Linked DNA regions of Caenorhabditis elegans. The protein of the gene in region 3 interacts with the protein of the main gene of each other region in a pairwise test. Each region holds a gene or a part of one and is shown on either strand. Other genes may lie near its edges.

What was found. The genes of interacting proteins can lie anywhere in the genome.
Region 1: the proteins of hum-1 (region 3) and T20F5.6 interact in a two-hybrid assay, tested with the Caenorhabditis elegans proteins (one large-scale study listed by BioGRID).
Region 2: the proteins of hum-1 (region 3) and nos-3 interact in a two-hybrid assay, tested with the Caenorhabditis elegans proteins (one large-scale study listed by BioGRID).

Annotation. Positions count from the first base shown.
Region 1 is NC_003279.8:3,919,693-3,927,026, reverse strand, and holds T20F5.6 (RING-type domain-containing protein), read left to right. Parts: upstream 1-1,864; 5' UTR 1,865-1,903; coding exon 1,904-1,973; intron 1,974-2,376; coding exon 2,377-2,676; intron 2,677-2,912; coding exon 2,913-3,101; intron 3,102-3,238; coding exon 3,239-3,329; intron 3,330-3,379; coding exon 3,380-3,452; intron 3,453-4,158; coding exon 4,159-4,371; intron 4,372-4,418; coding exon 4,419-4,571; intron 4,572-5,114; coding exon 5,115-6,339; intron 6,340-6,386; coding exon 6,387-6,457; 3' UTR 6,458-6,821; downstream 6,822-7,334. Other genes in the region: T20F5.7 (RING-type domain-containing protein), read left to right, coding at 1-434, 1,051-1,190; T20F5.5 (Flocculation protein FLO11-like), read left to right, coding at 6,855-6,928.
Region 2 is NC_003280.10:9,744,675-9,750,967, forward strand, and holds nos-3 (Nanos-type domain-containing protein), read left to right. Parts: upstream 1-1,641; 5' UTR 1,642-1,792; coding exon 1,793-1,829; intron 1,830-2,027; exon of another isoform or gene 2,028-2,042; coding exon 2,043-2,359; intron 2,360-2,504; coding exon 2,505-2,735; intron 2,736-2,870; coding exon 2,871-2,991; intron 2,992-3,035; coding exon 3,036-3,652; intron 3,653-3,750; coding exon 3,751-4,631; intron 4,632-4,678; coding exon 4,679-5,129; intron 5,130-5,174; coding exon 5,175-5,186; coding exon of another isoform or gene 5,187-5,196; 3' UTR 5,197-5,780; downstream 5,781-6,293. Other genes in the region: Y53C12B.1 (U3 small nucleolar RNA-associated protein 13 C-terminal domain-containing protein), read right to left, coding at 287-1,094, 1,242-1,393; Y53C12B.7 (uncharacterized protein), read right to left, coding at 5,837-6,008.
Region 3 is NC_003279.8:8,845,280-8,853,068, reverse strand, and holds hum-1 (Unconventional myosin-Ie), read left to right. Parts: upstream 1-1,952; 5' UTR 1,953-1,973; coding exon 1,974-2,105; intron 2,106-2,216; coding exon 2,217-2,359; intron 2,360-2,413; coding exon 2,414-2,543; intron 2,544-2,590; coding exon 2,591-2,734; intron 2,735-2,783; coding exon 2,784-2,996; intron 2,997-3,085; coding exon 3,086-3,218; intron 3,219-3,264; coding exon 3,265-3,346; intron 3,347-3,391; coding exon 3,392-3,501; intron 3,502-3,548; coding exon 3,549-3,669; intron 3,670-3,782; coding exon 3,783-4,184; intron 4,185-4,247; coding exon 4,248-4,329; intron 4,330-4,375; coding exon 4,376-4,726; intron 4,727-4,774; coding exon 4,775-4,882; intron 4,883-4,933; coding exon 4,934-5,110; intron 5,111-5,159; coding exon 5,160-5,266; intron 5,267-5,314; coding exon 5,315-5,452; intron 5,453-5,507; coding exon 5,508-5,719; intron 5,720-6,429; coding exon 6,430-6,560; intron 6,561-6,610; coding exon 6,611-6,923; intron 6,924-6,973; and 3 more. Other genes in the region: F29D10.3 (PAN-3 domain-containing protein), read left to right, coding at 7,588-7,692.

The DNA.
Region 1 (7,334 bases), 4.9 Mb from region 3:
TCAAGTGCTCACTCTCAAAATGGCTCGAAGTAACCGAATGGAGATTCATGTTGCATCGAAAAAAGATCTTGAAGGACCTGAATTGTATCTTCGTAAGGATTCCGAAGGAAATACTCATATTGTTGTTGCTGGACTGACGGGATCACCAGCAGAAGTTATGAAGTTTATTACTGAAAATGGAATTAGTATTGAGACGGGAGTTCTGATGCCACAAGTTGTGTATGATGAGGGTCGCACACGTGGCGGGACTGAAAAGTTTGCGAAGGTTAACAGCATGGCAGCTGGTCAATCTGCTATCAAGTGCACAAAGCCACCGGTTAAACTCGAAGAGCTGGAGTTTCATAAGACATTTGAGCTGAAAGTAAGCGAGGAATCTGGATCACTTAAGATGGAGCTGGTGCAGAAAGAAGAAGTTCCGAAGAATGGATTTGGAGGTTGGTATAGTTTTTTAAGACTGAGCCTCAAGGGCGGTGTCGTCGAAAAATAGTAGAATATCGAAAAACAAACATTTTCGATTAAAAAATTCCAGATTTTAGATTGTTCGAAAAATAGCTTTTTAGAAGAAAATCACATTTTTTTTCTTCCTTTTTTTTTGAAAAATCAAAAAAAAAATTGTTTAGAAGTTAAAAAACAATTAAAATTTTTAAATCAAATTTTTAAAAAAGTCGAATTTTTTTCTAAATTTTTCAAAGCTATTTTCCAAAAATTCGCCACAAAAAGCGAAAAAAATATGCAAAAAGAACGGAAAAATTGACCAATCAGCTTTCATTTTAGCTGAAATTAACCCTTTTTCGAAATTTTTATCCGCTATTAAAATGTTTGAGATTTTTAGTTGAAAACTTTTGCTATAAAATTAGCCATTTTCGGGTTAATATTTAAAAAAATGCCGAAACATTTTATTCGAAAAAAAAATTAAAAAATGTAATCCTTCGAAGGGCTTCTGAAAATATTATTTTTCTTTAAAAACATCTAATTTTATTTTCCCAAAAAAAAAATCGAAAAATCCCCCTTTAAATCTATATTTTCAATTTGAAAAAATCAATATTTCAGTGTTCGAAGGATGTATGACAAAACCATCTGCAAAACGTCTCAAAGAGTTTACCGACAGTTGTCCAGGCACTTCAGCCGAAGATGAAGTCCAAGTTATCGAGCCGGAGCCACTTCCAAAGCGTCGCCGTACGAGAAAATAGAATAACCTTCTCGAAGAGATGACTAGAAAATAAATATTCGGGCTTTTCATAATTCTCATCCGCTATTAGTTCTCAAAATTAGAAGTTTTAACCTCATACAAAATGATCTGCATGAAAATATTTCACATTTTATATTAAGTTTCTTTTCTCCTCCACACATTCTTGGTCTCTCCCACCTCCTCCCCGTCCCCCCTCAGCTCTTTCTTTTATCCTGATTAATTTGAATGTTTTTTTGATTCCACGTGTTCTCTTCCGTATCATTTTTCTATTTTTATTTATTACTGTTCCATTCCCCAAATGTTTTTTTCTCGTTTCGTTTCGTTTTCGTGCTCTTTTATTTATTGCTCGAATATTCGAATCGGATAGTCTTTGAGAACCCAATTTTATAAATGCATTCATTTACCTTTTTTTAAATTTATTTTCTGGTTTCTCACGTATTCTGTCGTGACTCCGTTATATTTGTATTCACTACTGTATCAGAATTCTAGGTAAATTTGCCTTTTTTCGATGTTTATAAAAATGAGTCGGCATTAGTACTGTGATTTTAAAGGTACATGACGAAAAACGACCACAAACTTTTACTCCGCTGCGAAACCATTTCGCACAAGCGTGTCCGCTCCCTTTAATGTCCTACTGATTTTCTTTTGAAATTACATTTCTTTCAAGTTTTTCAGAGTTATTTCCTTCAAAAATACACCGTTTTAATTTCTCAAATGGATCCGTTCGACATTGATGGTTTGAATGTTCGACTCCGTGACCTGCAAAGACAATTGCAAGACGACAGTAAGTTACTGAATACGAAAAATTTTGAAATTCAGTTTCCAGCGATCAATACCTGTTGCGCCACGTTGTTGCAACATTTTTCACTTAAAATAAGTGTCAAAATATGGAAAATCTCTCAATTTATCTGAAAATAACCTTTATTTCAGCTGAAGCATTTGAGAAAGTGCTTAAAAATGGCCTGAAAGGTGTCAATTGTCGATTATCGAATTATAAAACTTGAGCTTCATTTTTCCACACGTTTTCGAATGTTCAGGTGTTATTTTCAATTACATCAAGTGATTTTCTATTTTAACGCTATTTTTAATGAAAAATGTTAAAATAATAATAGTGCAATAGGTAATTTTGTAGAATTGCCTCCCACTCGTCCTTTATTTTAATCAATAAATAATATTTTTTATTGCAGTGGAAGAGTTCCGAGATATGGCCCAGATGGACGATTTTGCTCATCCGTTTGGAGGAATAGATGCAGCTATCAACGTCGATGATCCAGTAGATGATGCAAATAACGATGAGCCAGCAGCTGGAGCTGAAAATGTTTTAGACCGGGAAGATAATCAACCTCAGCCGGAAGCAGTTGCCACGCCTGACGTTCCGAAGGCAGAAAATGAAAAAGAAAAGGAGGATGAGGCGGACGATACAATTTTAACGTCGAAGGGCACCGAAATGAAAGGATTGTCGTGCGGAATCTGTTATGACCCGTTTAGTTAGTAGTTATTTGTTGAAAAACATTTAAAATTAGCCTTGACTTCAGAAAAACCAGAAAAAAAACGGTAGAAATCGCAGAAGAATGAAAAATTCAATTTTGCCTCAATTTGGAGCAAATTTGGTCAAAATTGAAAAAATCGTAAATTTTGTTTTATGGTTTTTCTAATTTTAAGTCGATTTTTAAATTTTATTAAATTAAAATCCCTTTAATCCCGCTAAAATGTAAATTTTCAGACACCGGCAAGCGTATTCCAAAAGTGTTTCCATGCGGTCACACGATTTGTCTCCAATGTATCAAAAAACTTCTCAACACCAGAACTTTTCTCGGCGGAAACACAGTCATCTGTCCATCGTGCCGACAAAATACTCGCTACAGCTTAACCACCCCGGCCGATAAGATTCCAACTAATTTCTGCATTCAATGTGAGATTTTATTTTAAAATTTGGCTTCAAAAATCGAAAGTAGTTCTGAAAAACGAAAAAAGTTGGAATTTGAGACTATTTTGAAATTTTTTGAAGCCAAATCCCTTAAAAAAAACAAAAAATCGATTTTTTTTCAGCATTGTTAGAGCAAAGACAGCAGGAGAAATCAACAAAAGAGCCGGAAGCTGTGAAATGTACCGAGTGTCACACGACAGTGAGCGCTATTGAGTAAGATTCTTTGAAAAAAATCGGTTTTTAATTTATATGAAAAATTTCAGAGCTACAACATGCTCAGACGAAACGTGCCAGAAAGAGATTTCCGAGGAAGAATTGAAGAATGTAGACAAAATTGTAAGTTTATATTTAACGGAGGCTTATGATGTTAAAAACGTTTAAATTATAGAAAAACATAGAAATTTTCTGAATTTTTATGGTTTTTAGAAAAAATTTTGCAAAAAAAAATTCTGAATGGCTGAATTATTTTTGAATTCCTCAGAAAATGGCCTTTGGTTTTTTTTTCCATTAAAAAAATAATTTGTAATTTTTGAGATATTTTTTGGTAAAAAACTTGATATCCGGAAATAAATAGCCAAAAAAAAAATCGAAAATTGAACATTAATTCAAATTTTTTCGCGGAAAAATGCCACAAATGGCGTATATCTAGAAAACGCAAAAAATATATACGTTCAGGTCATTCTTGAGCACTTCCTCCAATGCTTCAGCAGAAATAAATATTATTTTCAGATAAATCAAGTGATTTTCTACATTTTGACACTAATTTTCAATTTAAAAAAAATCTGGGACCAAAAGTGTTTTTCCTTTTTTTTTCAGAGAAAATCGAAAAATTTGAAAAAAATAATAATAAAACCTTCAGGAAATGACCCTTAAAATTCAACTTTTTTGATCAAATTGTGTTTACTTATGTTGCTGAAAAAACATAAAAAGGCATATAACTGTTTTTCTAAAAAACAAGAAAAATCACCCAAATTCTAAGATATTTTTCGAAATATCGGAAAATCGAAAAACCCCTAAATTTTCTCTATTCCATTATTTCCAGAAACGTCCGAAGGAAACCCTCATTTGTCGTTCGTGTATCGAAACGAATCACTCTACCCACATCTTCGTCTCATTTAGCAATGTGGCTGCTCAATATGAAGCGAATAAGAAGATTCTTCTAGCTGAATCATTGCTCAAAAAGAAGCTAAAAGCTGTTGATGAGGCGCTTTTAGCGTTTGACAAGACGAAAGCTGAAGCAATTGATCATCGACGAGTTAGTTTTGATATTAATTCTCCAAACGAAATAATTTATTTTTTCAGAGAATGGCAAATGCATTGGTGAATATTAGAAAGGAAGCAGATCACCCGGATTTCTACGAAAGCTTGAATAGATTTATGAGTTCTATGAAATCATCTGGAGAGTTGTTCAAGACGTTGAGCAGCGATTTGGATAAATTTGAAAATTCCTCAAAGGTATCCTTATCAAATCATCTTATTATCAGGGATATTGCAATAAAAATTTAGACCAAAAACCAACAAAAAATTGTCGAATTTTTCATCATACCAACTGAAACATAACATTTTTGGAATTTATTTTTTTGCCAAAAAACCATAAAGCGAAAGCCCTGCTTATTATACTGTTGCAAAAATCAGCGTCGCATAGAAAGAAAGGCGGGGTGTAATTTTGCAACCCTGCGGCACGGTTTTTCTCCCTTACACTGATTTTTGTTTAAAATAATTTTTGTTATGAAAATATTATTGTGAAGATATTTCATACCAAATTGGTTGTGAAAACATGGAATATCCTCACAATCTTATGAGAATTAATTTGGAATATTTTTGCATTCGAAGAAAGAAAATAAAACAAGTTTAATCGAAATTTTATTGAAAAAAAAAGAGAAAAAACCGGCCGCAGTGTTGCGAAAAAAGCCCCACCTCTCTTTCTGTGCGACGCTGTTTTTCGCAAATTCAGGGATCGGTCATTTAATTTCAACAATAGTAATAATTATCTTTCAGGCTCGCTACCATCGCTCGTTCGGTCGTGATGTTCTCCGTCCAAGTGCTTTTCCACAAGAGACGGATGGTTCCAAACAAGAAGTGAAGCAAGCACCCGCCCCTGTACCAGTTCCTCCGGCACGACCAAGACCTGGCCCAGCTCTCAATCGTGAGAGATTCCGAAGACTTGGAGCAGTTGGTGGTTTTGTGGTGCCAATTGTTGGACGGGATGCAAATGCTCCTGGAGGAGTTCGACATTTGGCGAATGAAATCGACGAATTCTTAGCACCAAACGATCAGGGCCTAGCGGCTCATTTTCGACGAATCTTTGGAGATCTTCCGGACGATGATATTGCTATTGATGTTCAGATTGCTGCTGCTGCTCCAGCTGGCGATGCTCCCGCTGCTGGTGGTGGTGATGATGCTGTAGATGGTGCTGGTGATTTTCTTGGGCCTGCTGCGGATCTTCGTTTAGCTGGTGCTGCTGGGGCTCCACTGAATATTGCTGATCGTATGTATCGAAGACATCGAATTGCTGCTCGAGCGCAGTTGGCTGCTCCTCGCCGTGCCAATCGTAATGGAAACAATGTTCGAGATCTTCGAATGGTTCGTCACCACATTTTCCGTGCCATTGCTCAGAATCCGGGATTGCACAGGAACGATGCGATTCAACAGGCTATTGACGGTTTACGAGATTATATTTGGAATCTCGAAGGTCCGTACGCAAGAAATCCTTTTGAATTGGATCAAATTGATATGAGACGTGATTTGGATAATGCACAACAAAGATTGAATCAGTTGGGTGCCAGGCTTCAAGAACTTGAAGGAAATCTTCGAGCAAGAGACGATCCAGCTCAGGATGCTCCATGGCATGATGTAGTTGTCCAAGAACCTCTCAATCCGCTCCCACCAATTCAAGGAATCGAGCAAGAAGTTGCAGATAGAGCTGAGATAGCAGAACTTGTCAATCGAATCATGGGAATGGTTCGCAACGAGGCAGAAGCCGAAGCGAATGCAAATGGACAGCGTGCACCGAAAAACATTGAGATGCCTGCACTACTCAATCCAGACGCCAATCCAGATGCTCCAAACTTCAAAAACTTGCAGCCATTGCAAGTTCAACCATATCTTCGTGACTTGAGAGCTTTAGAGCTTGAATGGATTCAGAAGGCGCAAGACAGAAGAGCTCGCGGCGGTGCTCAACCACCTGTAGAAGATGTGGAGCAGAATCCTGTGGTGGAAGGAGGTTAGTAATAGATTCATTTTAAACTTTTAAATATTTCATGTTTTCAGGCACAGACGCCCAACGCCGCGCCGTGTCGCCTACCCAAGACGAGCCTGCTGCAAAGAGAAATCGTCAGTAAACTGGTCTTATTAATTATTCTTTTTCAAGTCAATCTTAAATATTTTATTTATGTTTTTTCTTCTGTAACTCCCCCCTCCCAATTCCTGTCATCATTATCATTATCACCAGTGGGATTGTACCCTTTTTCTATTCTCGTGATCGTATCTCATGTTCATTCCGACTACAGCTTTTATATTTCCAATACTATTTGTGAATTCTAAATAGTTTAATTTGTTCTCTTCTGTATCCGCTTATCATCAATTCAATTTTATTTAGAAATAATTTCAATGAGTGTTTAAAAAACGCGTGAACCCTTTAAAAAAGAATCTCCCACTAGTTCCACAGATCGTGGAAATAATCAGTTCTCAATAAGAAGTTTCTTTATTTTGTCAAAACGTTCAATTATCATCGGCAAAATGAACAAGACACTCGTTTCGACGACGACTGCCAGCAATACTACGATAAATAGTGCTGATTTGAGGAAAGAACTGTGAGTACTGAGAGAATTGAGTTTTCAGATTTTATTCGAGCAATAAAGCTCACAGTAACGTTATTGCGCAATTCTCTGTAACGCGGACTTAAAGGCGCGGGGACATGCTCGTAAGGGTCTCGCCGCGAAAAATTTGAATTGTACTTAAGCCGTGCTTTTTCATTTATCTTTTTTCTCGTATGATTTAAAACCTGCGAAATTTATTATGGGGACGCAGAAAAATGCCCCTTTTGAAATAACGCGCCCTACTGCCAATTGAAAACGCTCCGCCCGCAAACCATCGTTGGGTATTTGGCGGTATAACCGTTAATTCAATCAGCTTCAATGAACTTCTTTTTTAAAAGAATTTTATGCCGAAGTTGGCGAAATAAATAGCATTTTTAAAAGTTAATTTCGGCATAAAAGA
Region 2 (6,293 bases), on a different chromosome or scaffold from region 3:
TAATTAAGAAGGTTCTTAAATCCAATTATTACTATTCGTAGAAATATTACTTGGCAATTTGAGAGCATATTAAAAGTGGTAATATTCAAAGAAAAAATTATTAAAAAAATGATAAAATCAAATATTTTCGTTTTTCGGTGTTTTTTTACGAATTTTGTATAAAAGATTTACATTCGAAAAATTATACATTAAAGCAACTTGATATGACAAAAATGATATCAACAAATGGTTTTCAATTCCAATTTGCAATCATTGTTTTTCTTTCAAGGTCAACTATAAAACTCACTTCGTCATGGAATCCAACAATTTGTCTTGCAATTTTCAGATTTTCAAAATCCAAAATTATAAGATTTTGTTCGGCGGAAATTGCCAAAAAGCGATTAGAAACAACATCGTAGGCCAAGTGATCGAGATTCGAGCTGGCAATCCTTTTCTTTCTGACCAACTTCGCAGTTTCAATCACAAATTCCTTAACAACACCCTCTTCTCCAACAGTGAAAAGATTTCCGTTATGTCCGATTGCTCCGCCTTCAATTGATTCGTAGAGTGGAAGAACTCGGAGTGTTTCTTGAGTTTCTGTTTCATGAATACTCATCGTCTGATCTCGCGAAAGAGCCACAACAACTCGTGAATCCGGAACTTGAAGCAGTGCGGTAATATGAGAATTATGACTTTTCCATGTGTTTACAAGTTTTTTCGGAGCACCTCTCATTATATTATAGAGGTTCAATTGTCCTTCAATGTATCCAACGACAAGCTTTTCATGTTTTCCGAACAGAATTGCTGAAACTACCGAGGGTCCTTTTAATGTGTGTGTACATTGTTGCTCTGTCAGATTCCAGACTTTCACGATGTGATCGGCACTTCCAGTCGCCAGTAAATGGCCCTCCTCATTGAATTCCATAACGAGAATAGGAGCAGTGTGTATGGTTTTCCATGTTCTGGCCAACTCTGGTTTAGTTGTCGACGGATCCAAAGGAATTGAGTATTCACGAATTATTTGATTGTTATAGGCGACCAAAAGGCGATTTCTGTTCTTGTCGACAGCTGTGCACGTAATGCGTAGCTCATCTTCAGGGTCGCCGATGGTATAGCTGCAAAAGATTTGATGCATTTCAAATTTAATTTATTTTATTAAACTTCAAAATTATTCATATTCAATTTTTCAAATAATCATAATCAATCTACTTCTAGTTTTGTGGGTGAAACTTGTTTTAAAGTTCTGTCGCAACATCACATACCTTGCAGTATTGTCAGCCAGATCAATCACTTTCACAACATTTGTGCATGTAGAAAAAAGTTTCTGACCATTTGCACTCCATCTGACAGTTCCTCCGGTGTAAACTGCTTCGACACTTCTTTTCGCGGCAATTTCCTTGATAGGTTCAGTCATTTCACCTTAAAATGTTTTAGTAACGCAGTTATTTGAGGGATCAAGAGTTAAAAATAAGAATAACATAATTTAAACTGTAAAGGTTGATGAAAAGAATAGAAAATAGGTGAAATTTACTTAAAATCTATCAAATGATCTAAAAAAACGACTCCGTAAATCGACACTAATGCCGAAACAAGTGTCACCGTACTTATTCGCTGCGAGACCCACTTCCCGTTTAATTCTACGCGCCTTTAAGTGCCCACCCATTTCGGCATTTTATCGATGAATTTATTAGCGTTCGCCGACGCTTTTTATAGATTTCTAACCTTTTTGTTCTCTTATTACCTTGCCGCCTTCAAATAAGAGTTATCTTAAACTAGTAACATTATCATTTTGCAATATAAACTCTGGAAAAATATGCAATTATTACATTTCTACACACAAAGTGTTCCGAGTATGTTTTTTTCTGTTATTTCCACTCAACTGAGAACTAAAAACTAGTTTTACCAAAATCACATGTTCCTTTTTCAATTTCTCATTTTCTTTGATACTCTTTGCCAATTGAGCTCCTTATTTTTGAAAACATAGATTCCGATAAAATTTTGCTGATTCTCTTTTTCTAAACATATTGCATATTTTAAAACACTTCGATAGTCAACATTTACAGTCAACGTTCACTTGGTAATGTCTGGACAGCAGTTCCAGCAACATTCACAGCAGCAACAACAACGTGCCCCAACCGTCTATAATAATAACAACAAGAAAAACGGCGGCAGCGCTGCAAACTCAAACCAAAACAACAACAACCCCCATCATACCTCAACGACTGATTCGGTGCCGAACTCGACTGCCAACGTGTCGTCAGCAATTTCGTTTGAGTATTCAGAGCCGCCAGGAAACACCACTAGGACAACACCAGATTCTGGGCTAGGGACTGACGACCAAAAGGGCACACCTCAACAGACACGTGCTCCGCCAGGATTTGTAAGTAGGAAACTATTGAAAATCCTATCGAAAAAAGATAAGTCAGAAAAAGAACACTTTTGAGGTGCGCAAGGTTTTAAGAGAATTGAGAGATTTTTCAAATCAGTGAAATATCAAACATGTAATTTATCTCATTCATTTTCAGCATCGAGCAGCTTATCATCGGAACAGCGGTCAACAGCAATTCTCTCAAATGCGCCCACAGCCGCCACATACTGGACCACCAAATGGTATGACATATTACGGAGGAACCGTCGGCGCGCCCGGCTATCAGCAACAACAACCACCACCACAAGAAGGATATGATCAACAGCAGCAGTTTGGAGGTGGATCCGATGGTGGACAATACCAAAGAGGACCACCAGGAGGCTATCGGGTATGGAGAATTACGGGCTCCTCAATTATTTCTAGCTCATAATAATTTTTTAATGAGCGTTATGATTTGGAAATTATATCTACAGGAAAATAATGAGAAGAGTTGATAGACATTTTGCAAATTCTTTATTTTCAGCAGTATCAACAAATGGAAAGCGGTGGTCCGCCAAGTGGATACGCGGATGACAACAACGGTGGAAACAATAATTTTGTCATTCATGGCCCCAACGATAATTTCGATGGTCGGCCACAATATAGTTGGTGCAAACTTACTGTGTTCTGTTCAAAAGCATAATTTTAGATCCTCAAGCAGGGCCACCACCACAAAATCAGCAGCAAATGATGAACAGTGGCAACTATGAAATTGATCAGTACCGTGGACAAGGACCTCCTCCAGGAAATACCTATCAACAGCAGGGACATAGTGGACAAGCTCAATATTATGCTGGACCAGTAATCCAGCAACGGCCACCACCGCCACACAATGCTCAATCTTATGGACAGTATAGGGGTCCACAAGGCCCGCAAGGCCAAATTATTCAAATGATGCCTCACAATCCACAGAATCAACAGCAGCAGCAACAACATCCAATGCTGTATCCAATGGTGTATGTTCCTGTGCCAGCACCACGAGTGTTCCGGCAAGAGCCAGCTGGTGGAGCTAGCAGTTTGGAAAAAGACGGAGGAAATGCTCGCAAAAGTAAACGAAACAGTCAAAATGAGGACGATGGTCAGCAACATCAACATCAGAATGAACAACAACCTCAACAAGGCTACCATCAACAGGATTTTGTATCGAACCCACTCTGGAATCAGATGCCTGTCGGTTACGCTCCACCAGGAAACTTCACGCAGCCTCAGCAACAACATCAACAAATGGATCAACAACAAGCCGTCCAAATGCAACATCAGATGCAGGTACAACTTTAAAAAAATTAGGGGAAGATTTTATATTATATTTTGACAATTTCACAGAGTTACACTTTTTTTAAAAAGAACAAACAACAATTCCTCAGATGTTTCAGCAAATGCAACCATACGGAATGCCACAAGGAGGCCCACCACCACCTCATGCTGCTGCTTCTATGATGAATCATCCCCATCAGCAAAATCATCCTCATATGAATGCACAAATGACCCAACAACAGCATCCAGGACAATATCTACCGCAACAATATATGCAAATGGTTCCGCCGCCTCACCATCAAATGCAACAAATGCAACAGCAAGGTAGACGTCCAGGAGGTGTTGAGCCGCTCATGGGAGGCCCGCCGTATCAAATGAGTGGACAAATTAATCAAATGGGAGGACCAATACGTGGAGGTTTTGGAATGCAACAGCAACAGCCGATGGGCTACTTCAATTCTGGAAGAGGTGGAAATGCTGGATCAGGAAGAGGAAGAGGTGGTTCACGAGGTCACGGATACCAACATTCTCGTCAAAATTCTAATCAAAGCTACAATTCTTCTCAAAGTTATCCACAAAATCGAGGAAATTTTGATTCATCAAGTCAATATCAATCCGACAGTCAACAAGTGGATGAATCAGTTACACAGCTTACCAATAGAATTGAACATCTTCAACCAGTTAGCTCACGTGCAGGATCACCAAGTAAACAGATCCTTCAGTTAGTCGAATCGAAAGATGATCAAACTTCGACTGAAAATTCTGAATCACCAAGTCGGTCAAGCACTCCTAAACATCGGAAGAAGACCCCAAAGAAAGATTTTAAAGTTGATCAAGAAGCATCTATCGAAGCGACAAAAACTGAAATAAGCGAGGAAAATCCGAAAACGGATGATATTCAGTCTAAAGATGATGTTACTTCGAAATCTGAACTACACTGTTATCGATGTGAACATTACCAGTTGCCTGCTGAAGAAGTGTCTTCCCATAAGTAAGATTAAAAATTCTAATTTATAAAAATTAAAAATTTAATTTCAGTATTCGCAAGGATAATGGTGATTTGTGGTGTGAGCATATGAAAAAGATCAAATGCGGGCATTGTGAGGCGACTGGAGAACAAGGTCATCACCCTCTAATTTGTCCAAAAAAGAAAGAAGAAGAACGTGTGGCAAAATCTCGAGAGTCTTCGCAGAAGCCGATCGATCCGCAGGAAATAAGTGATGATCAGGATGATACTGTACCGGATGTTCCCGATCAAATAGTCGAACAAGACAATCAGTCACATAAATCTCGTCACAATTCAGAAAATCGCAGTGGCGGTAGAGGATACGGTCAGAACTATAGCCATAGTTATGGCGGAAATTCTACTGGTAGCTATCGTGGACGATCGTCTGGAGGAAGTGGAGGCAGTGGACGTGGTGGTGGTCGTGGAGGTTACTCACGTGGACATGGTGGAGGATCAGGAGGAGGACAACGTGGAAACTATCAGGTTTGTATTTTAATAAATTGAAAAAAAAAACTAATTCCCATCAAGTTTCCAGAATAAACGTAAGTAAAATCGTTGGATTTTGATTGGCACCGATGTCCAACGACAACAAAAACTTCCTCCGATTTTCAAGAATCTTTCAAATATCCCGCTCGCCCAAACAAAATTCACTTCGATCTCTATTCATTCCATCCCATGCTAATACCACCATCCCACCGAATTCCAACTGCGAAAGCTTTAAAAGAAACCCCCTCATGTCTATCCCGATTTGTTGTTGAAACGTTTTGTTGTTTTTCTTTTCTTTTTTGTTGTTTTTTTTGCTAAAGAATTCCCCCAATCCTACAAGGATTCCGTAACTCGAGTTCCATCCTTTGGTCTGTTCGAATTCAATTCGTCATCCCTTTTCTGTCATGATTTTGTTGAAAATTGAAATTTTTGGCAGAAAATCCTGATTTTTTAAAATTGTGTCACCGTTCTTTCTTTCTTATACTATCTCCCTTCTCCCCCACTTTCTAAAGTATCTCTATAATCCCGCCCGTTTTCCTCTTTTTCTCTATCCCCTTTCTCTTCCCCATCAAACAATGCATAATACTGATGATGTTGGTTCGAAAAACGATCTTCAAATATTTATGTTTCCGATAAATCTCAAAATTCAAACAGAAGTGTCCCGTATTGTTGTTGTTGATCAATTAGAGAAAACAAGAACATCTTCATCCACTCCATCCACTTCGCCTTCTCCGTTTTTTAGCGATGCCACCGATTTCCTTGGCCCATTTGAGGATTTTGTGTTCACGCGCCAACGCTTTCAGCTTCTGATGATGTGACGAAGATTCTGCAGACGTGGCAAAGTGTTCGTGGTAAGGCAGCAATGGAATTGGAACACTGAAATCCACTTTTATTAATATTTTTCATCACCAAGACGTGAAGTTTTTCAATTTTTGTGCAAAAAATACAGCACCAGGTCTCGTCACGACAATTGTTTGTAAAATACATGCGGGTGGGCGCCTTTAAAGGTTACTGTATTCTCAAAACTTCGGTACTGTGAAATTTTAATTGTTTTCCAACAGTTTTTCTTACGATTTGCTAAAATTTACTTATTCTATTTTAGTGTTTAATAATAAATAAATAAGTTTTAAATAAAAAACTAGGAAAAATCGATGAAAACTC
Region 3 (7,789 bases):
GACATGTCAGAACCGGACAGTTCGTCGCTTTTTTGTTTTAAAATTTCCGGAATAATTAGAATAATTTATGAGTCGGAGCTCATCAAATTAGGAACTCAGTAGTTGAAAATATTCCAACTAAAAATTGGTAGAATTATTTTTCAAGTTCTAGTACTACACCGAATTAAATAGAAATTTTCTTCTGTTCGAAAACACCCTTCTGAAAAAGAGTTGTTTATGATATTTGATATCTAATTTTATACCTAACTTTAAAAAAAAAAGTTATCACCAATTTGTTTCAATTTAAAAATACTAGAACACATACTCGTCCGTTTCTTCAACGATGAATCACCATCTACATCACTGCAACCTCCTCGATCCAAACACTCTCTTACTATTCACTTTTTCTTTTCTTTCTCTCCTTTTTATTTGTTGTATATTTCATCACTTTTTTCCATTTTTGTTCGTCATATACTCATGTTTCTCATCTCCTTGTGCCGTTTGGCACTCCCGAGACGTTTTCACTGATGAATGCAAAAAGTCATGGCTTTTGGTCTTTTCGAGTGAAATTCGACATTTTATTTTTTTCATTTTTCTCTGATAATGAAACAAAACTTTGATAATGACTCACTTTGCCTAGTTTTGATCAAAATTTTGATAAAATTGAAATTAGTGAGTTTTGTAGAAAATTGGCTTTCAATTTTTAAGTTTCGCGCTGTTTTCGTTAGGGCGCACTTGCACATTGCGATTTATCTTCCGTGGGCACGGTTTCTGAATTTATAGGCGGAGTTTTTTGTTGAATGCTTATTAATAACATATTTTATTATGACGAAAGTTTATATTTGTTTTTAAATATGAATTTATATAAACCAAATTTAGATTAATAGCTTAATGTAAAAGATTTCCTAAAAATAACTTTTCCATAAGATAAACTTCTCCGCAAGTTTGAAAGTCCTCTTAAAATTAATTTTAATTTTGTTTCATTTGAATTAGTTGTCTTTTGCAGCTGTTTGTCAGGATTTCATAACTTATTCAAAGATTTTTTTCTATTTTTCATCCGTCTAATGTTTTGCTCAAATCAAAATTCATAAATAAATATTCTAATATGTATCTTCAAGCCTCTTCCAATTTTTTCTGAAACTCACTAAATATATTAAACACTCCTTCCATGTTTCCTACACATTTCTGACACATCTAAAATCAAACAGATCAGAGATGTGGTCATCGTGAAATTGAAAATATGTTCCTCTTGCTTATGAGTCATCGTGTTGTGTTGACTGCCTACGTCTCTCGTTCTTCATGCATCTTTTGTTTTAGACTTTATACTAATAGTAAAAATTCTAGAATGCGTTTCATTAGACAGAAACTGTTTTCAAAAACACCTTTGAATTCTGTTAGAATAATTTTAAATTATTCAACACTCTATCCACAGCTTTTATGTTCAAACGAAACTTAACGGTGTCCATCTATGTCTCCGCGATTTCTGAAGGTCACACTCCAAGGTGGCAAGGATGTAAATGAAGACAGGCACAATTGGAAAGTGGTCACCTCCTTCTGTTCATCCTCCTTTCGTTCCAAAAAGTCAATCGTCTCACCTCAATTGGTCTGTCGCTTCTCAAATTCTCTACCCGTTTGACTTTTATTTAAAATTGTTTACTTCACTCTAAATTTTAATATTTTTCAATTTTAAATTGTCTTAAATCCGTTCTTAAAATTTTGGTTTTCATCGAGAAACTTTCATTCATCTCCTCTAGTTCATAATTCCTACTCATCAATCTTTTCATTTCGCTCGATGAATTCACTACCTTCTATTATAAACGAAATTACCGGATTACTCTCTCTCTTTTACTCTTCAACTGTAATAAAAAAGCGACAAGTTGGTCGAAAACGACATTTATAATCCCCTCTCCTGTTTCTTAGACTTTTTGTTTCCCATATTCCCCATTTCTCGGAATTATGTCTGTTTTTTTCAGTAAATACGCCGGTGGTTCATTATGGCGTTCCACTGGCAATCAAAAGTCAATGTTCAGCATGTCGGGGTCGATGACATGGTCCTTCTGCCAAAACTCACAGAGCAAAGTATCGTTGAAAATTTAAAGAAGAGGCTTCAAGCTAACAGTATTTTTGTAAGTTTAGAAGCTTTTCTATCAATTGTTATATTTTTTTGCTGGTTCAAGAAACTTAATCGCTAAAGTTAATTTTAAAGCCTAACCAATAATTAATGTTTCATATTTCAGACATATATTGGTCCTGTACTGATATCGGTAAATCCCTTCAAACAAATGCCATATTTTACGGAGAAAGAAATGCTTCTATATCAGGGAGCTGCTCAATATGAAAATGCGCCACATATCTATGCATTGGCTGATAACATGTACAGGTAAGATAGTTTTCAATGTAATGAAAAATGTTTTTAAAAAAGTTGAAAATTCAGAAATATGCTCATTGATAACGAGTCCCAATGTGTTATTATATCTGGAGAATCCGGTGCCGGTAAAACAGTCAACGCGAAGTTCATTATGAATTATATTTCTCGTATTTCGGGAGGAGGGCAGAAAGTTCAGGTAAATTTACTGATTAGAGGTATGATTTTGAAACTATGAATTTTCAGCACATCAAAGATGTTATTTTGCAATCAAATCCACTTCTCGAAGCTTTCGGAAACAGTGCAACAGTCCGTAACTGGAACAGTTCGAGATTTGGAAAATACGTAGAAATTGTGTTCAGTCGAGGTGGAGAACCTATTGGTGGAAAAGTAGGTTTTTAATAGTTTTTTTGCTAATTTTTCACAAACAATTTTTCAGCTTTCCAACTTTCTTTTGGAAAAGTCTCGAGTTGTTCATCAAAATGAAGGAGATCGAAACTTCCATGTTTTTTATCAATTATGCGCTGGCGCAGACAAGAACTTGAGAAGTACTTTCGGAATTGGAGAACTTCAATATTACAACTATTTAAATATGAGTGGAGTTTTCAAAGCAGACGATACGGACGATGGGAAGGAATTTGAGAGCACCCTGGTAAGATTTATGATCAGACAAATCGATTTTGTACAACAAGAACTCAGAAATTATTTTCCCCGTTTTATATAAAATATTATATTTTCCAGCACGCAATGAAAGTTGTCGGTGTTAATGATCAAGATCAATTAGAAGTTTTGCGAATTGTGGCAACTGTTCTCCATATCGGAAATATCACTTTCACCGAGGAGAATAATTTTGCTGCAGTTAGTGGAAAAGATTGTGAGTTACTGTTTTAAGATATATCACTTTACATTTAATTATTTAGATCTTGAATATCCTGCCTTCCTTCTGGGACTCACTAGTGCAGACATTGAGGCAAAGCTTACTGGTCGTAAAATGGAGAGCAAGTGAGCAGTTTCACATTAGTTTCAAATATTTCAATTTATTTTCAGATGGGGTACACAAAAGGAAGAAATCGATATGAAGCTTAACGTTGAGCAGGCGAGCTATACCAGAGACGCATGGGTTAAAGCAATTTACGCAAGATTATTCGATTATCTTGGTTAGCTTATTCATTTAAAATTTCTTTCCATGTATAAAAAATTACAGTAAAAAAAGTGAATGACGCAATGAATATCACTTCACAATCGACTTCAGACAACTTTTCTGTTGGAATTCTTGATATCTACGGTTTCGAAATTTTCAACAATAATGGATTTGAACAATTTTGGTAAGTTTAAGTTATTCTACTGAAATGATTGACCCAGTTTGTCTAAAAACCGAATTGTTCCTATTTTTGTTTTTGGAAAACCTTAATATTGATGAAATTAATACGAATTTCAGTATCAACTTTGTCAATGAAAAACTTCAACAAATCTTCATCGAATTAACGCTAAAAGCAGAACAGGAAGAATATGTTCGTGAAGGAATCAAATGGACAGAAATCGATTATTTCGATAACAAAATCGTGTGTGATCTGATTGAAACGAAGCGTCCACCTGGAATAATGAGCCTTCTTGATGATACATGTGCTCAAAATCATGGACAACGAGAAGGTGTCGATCGTCAATTGCTCACGACTCTTTCGAAATCATTTGCTGGACATCCCCATTTCGGCCCTGGCTCAGATTCATTCGTTATCAAACATTATGCTGGAGATGTTACATATAATGTAGATGGATTCTGTGATAGAAACAGAGATGTTCTTTATCCAGATCTTATTCTACTCATGCAAAAGTCTTCACGGTAAGGTTTTAATTTTCTAAATGTGTGTTTTGTTTTATTATTTCATTTGGTTTTTTTTTTCAGCCCATTCATTCAAGCTTTATTCCCTGAAAATGTAGCTGCGTCAGCTGGAAAACGACCAACAACATTCTCAACTAAGATTCGAGTATGTTTTAGTAATAAAATGTCAACATTTTTAATTTTAATTGCAGACTCAAGCTAATACTCTTGTGGAATCCCTGATGAAATGCTCACCTCATTACGTACGATGTATCAAGCCAAATGAAACAAAACGACCAAATGATTGGGAAGAGAGTCGAGTGAAGCATCAGGTTGAATATTTGGGTCTTCGTGAGAATATTCGAGTGAGAAGAGCTGGTTTTGCATATCGAAGAGCTTTCGACAAATTTGCCCAACGATATGCCATCGTCTCTCCTCAAACGTGGCCATGTTTCCAAGGAGATCAGCAAAGAGCTTGTGAGATAATCTGCGATTCAGTTCATATGGAAAAGAATCAGTATCAGATGGGAAAAACTAAGATATTTGTAAAGAATCCCGAATCGGTATGTTTTTCTAAATCAAAATATCGAAATGCAATAGATACATTCCAGCTGTTTTTATTGGAAGAGACTCGTGAACGCAAGTTTGATGGTTACGCAAGAGTCATTCAAAAAGCCTGGAGACAATTCTCGGCTAGAAAGCAGCACATTAAGCAAAAGGTAAAATCCAACAAAAATAAAAAATTGAATAAACATAAATTCTTATTTCAGGAGCAAGCTGCCGACCTCATGTATGGAAAAAAGGAACGCCGTCGCTACTCATTAAACCGAAACTTTGTCGGAGATTACATTGGATTAGAGCATCATCCGACACTTCAGTCCCTGGTTGGCAAGCGTCAGAGAGTGCTGTTTGCATGCACTGCTAACAAATATGATAGAAAGTTTAGGGTACGGTAAATTTGAGTTTAATTATTAGTCATCAATCGTTTATGTTTAGGTGACAAAACTTGATTTACTTTTGACTGTCAATCATTTGACTCTTATTGGAAAAGAAAAAGTGAAGAATGGTCCCGAAAAGGGGAAGATCGTTGAAGTTATCAAAAGGTATGATTTTTCCATTTTATTAAGATTAGTTTAAAATTAAAATTTCAGACAATTTGATCTACCTCAAATCAAATCAATTGGTCTATCTCCATATCAAGACGATTTTGTGATATTATATCTGGGAAACGATGATTATTCTTCTCTTCTCGAAACACCATTCAAAACTGAATTCTGTACAGCTCTCTCGTAAGCGCATTATATTGATTTGACTAATTCAAAGTTACGTATTCTTCAATTTTAGAAAAGCATATAAAGAACGAACAAACGGTACTCTTCATCTCGATTTCCGTAGTTCTCATGTTGTTAGTTACAAAAAGATGAAATTCGATTTCTCCGATGGAAAACGAACGGTTCAGTTTGGAAACGATGGAACTTCGTCTGCAGAGAAGACATTGAAACCAAATGGAAAAGTTTTGAATGTTAGCATTGGTACTGGATTACCGAATACTACAAGTGAGTCGAGAATGTTTGAAAAAATTATCTTAATTGTAACTAATCAGAACAAAAAACTTATTAAAGATGGATCAATGTGGAAATTGCTTTAAAACTTGCCTATAGCACCACAATCAAGGCTGGGACCAAAAAAATTTTAATTTGTGAAAAAACAAAAAAAAAGTCGACTTTTGGTATATTTTGAACTTTTTAGAAAAAAATCATTGAAAACCATTAAGGAACACATTTTGCTTTAAAAAATTGTAAATCCCAAAATACCCCAAAATACCCCAAAATACTCAAAATACCAACAAAAAAACCAAAAAAAGCCCTGACCACAATGACCAAATATCATAGTAAAAAGTTCAAAAAATGTTTTAATTTTCATGATTTTTTGAAATTTGAAAAAGTCTCAGTTTTTCCACTTTGTTGGAAGTCGTCGATCAAAAAATGTTATCCTGTTAATTTGACGGTCGTATGTTTTAAACATTACTATTCAAACATTGTAGGGATGCGACAGTGATATAGTTTTCTCAAAAAGTGGCAAAAACTCGGTTATTGTCACTTTTTGACTTTCAATTTTTTCTTTTGAAAAGTTTTCCTATGATATTTGGTTATTTTGGAACCATGTTTAACTATTTCCAAACTGGCGCTACTCCACCTTTGTAACTGTAGTGGCGTGTAACTTCTTTAAATAATATAGAAGTTACGAATAAAATTTGAATCTTCAGGGCCATCAACTGAACGTCCACAAGGTGGGTACACCCCGCGAAGAGATCAATTGAGAACATCAACACGACGAACGAAACAGAATAATCAAAGTTATGGACAAAATGGCCAATCTCAGGCAATGAGAGCTCCGGTAAGATTTTCAAAATTAATTCCATTGTAATTTAGATTTTCAAATTTCAGGTTCCCGCTCATGGAATGAATAACAATTACAATCAGACACCAGCTCCAGTATCGACTAATCATCAATATAGCCAAGAACCTGCGCGAATTCCAGTGATGGGAAACGTCATAAATCAGTTGAATAACATGAATCTATCTGGAAACGGAAACTCTCCAGCTGGACGAGGACCTCCGCCAGCGCGTGGACCAAAACCTCCTCCACCAGCAAAGCCAAAGCTTAATCCTGTCGTTATTGCTGTCTATCCATATGAAGCTCAAGATGTTGATGAGCTCAGCTTTGAAGCTGGAGCTGAAATTGAACTCATGAACAAAGGTTTGTCATAACTATAAGAATACTATTTTTTTAAATATTTGTGATTTCAGATGCTTCTGGATGGTGGCAAGGAAAAGTGAACAATCGAGTTGGTCTTTTCCCCGGAAATTATGTCAAAGAATAATTTCATTTTTTATTGCACGATCTCCCCCTCATTTCCCCAATATCTGTGAAATGCCTGTTTGTGAACATTGATTACGAGTTGTACTATATTTCTTTAAATATTTTATATTAGCATCCTTTACTCATCAAATACTTACTTCTGTTTATAAACCACAATGGTGTAATTTCATGTTAAATTGTTACTATATTGTTTAAAATAAATCGGAAGACTACTTTTTTCTCGTCAAGTATTTCTACAAGAAAAGTATACACACCAGGGATGGATCAATAAAACTATTTTCAAATTTAGGTTTTGGATCAGTTCACAAAACTTGCTACCATATATCCTACTTTTTATGCACGGAATATATATTTACATACAAACTTTCATGTTTTACGAGCTCGATAATAACAAATACAGAATCTTAGACCTTATGCAACGTTTTCGATGAAAACTTTACGAACATTTTTTTCAATTCACCTCCAAACCGAAAATTCATTAAAAATGTTTTTGTTTCTATTAATCTTCGTGCTTCCTCGGCTCATTACTGCTAATTTGAAGATGATGGTAGTATACGGTGAAACAGATGAATACAATAATCACTCAGAAATTCAAGAAAATTGGGACAATTGTCTGGTAAAATGCTACTGGGATGACGATTGTTTAGTGAGTTATTGTATTGGATTAAGGTTTGGTACGGTATACATGAAATTTTTCAAGAAAAAAAAACGTTCCATGTTCTTAAATTTAAACCTGAAAAAAG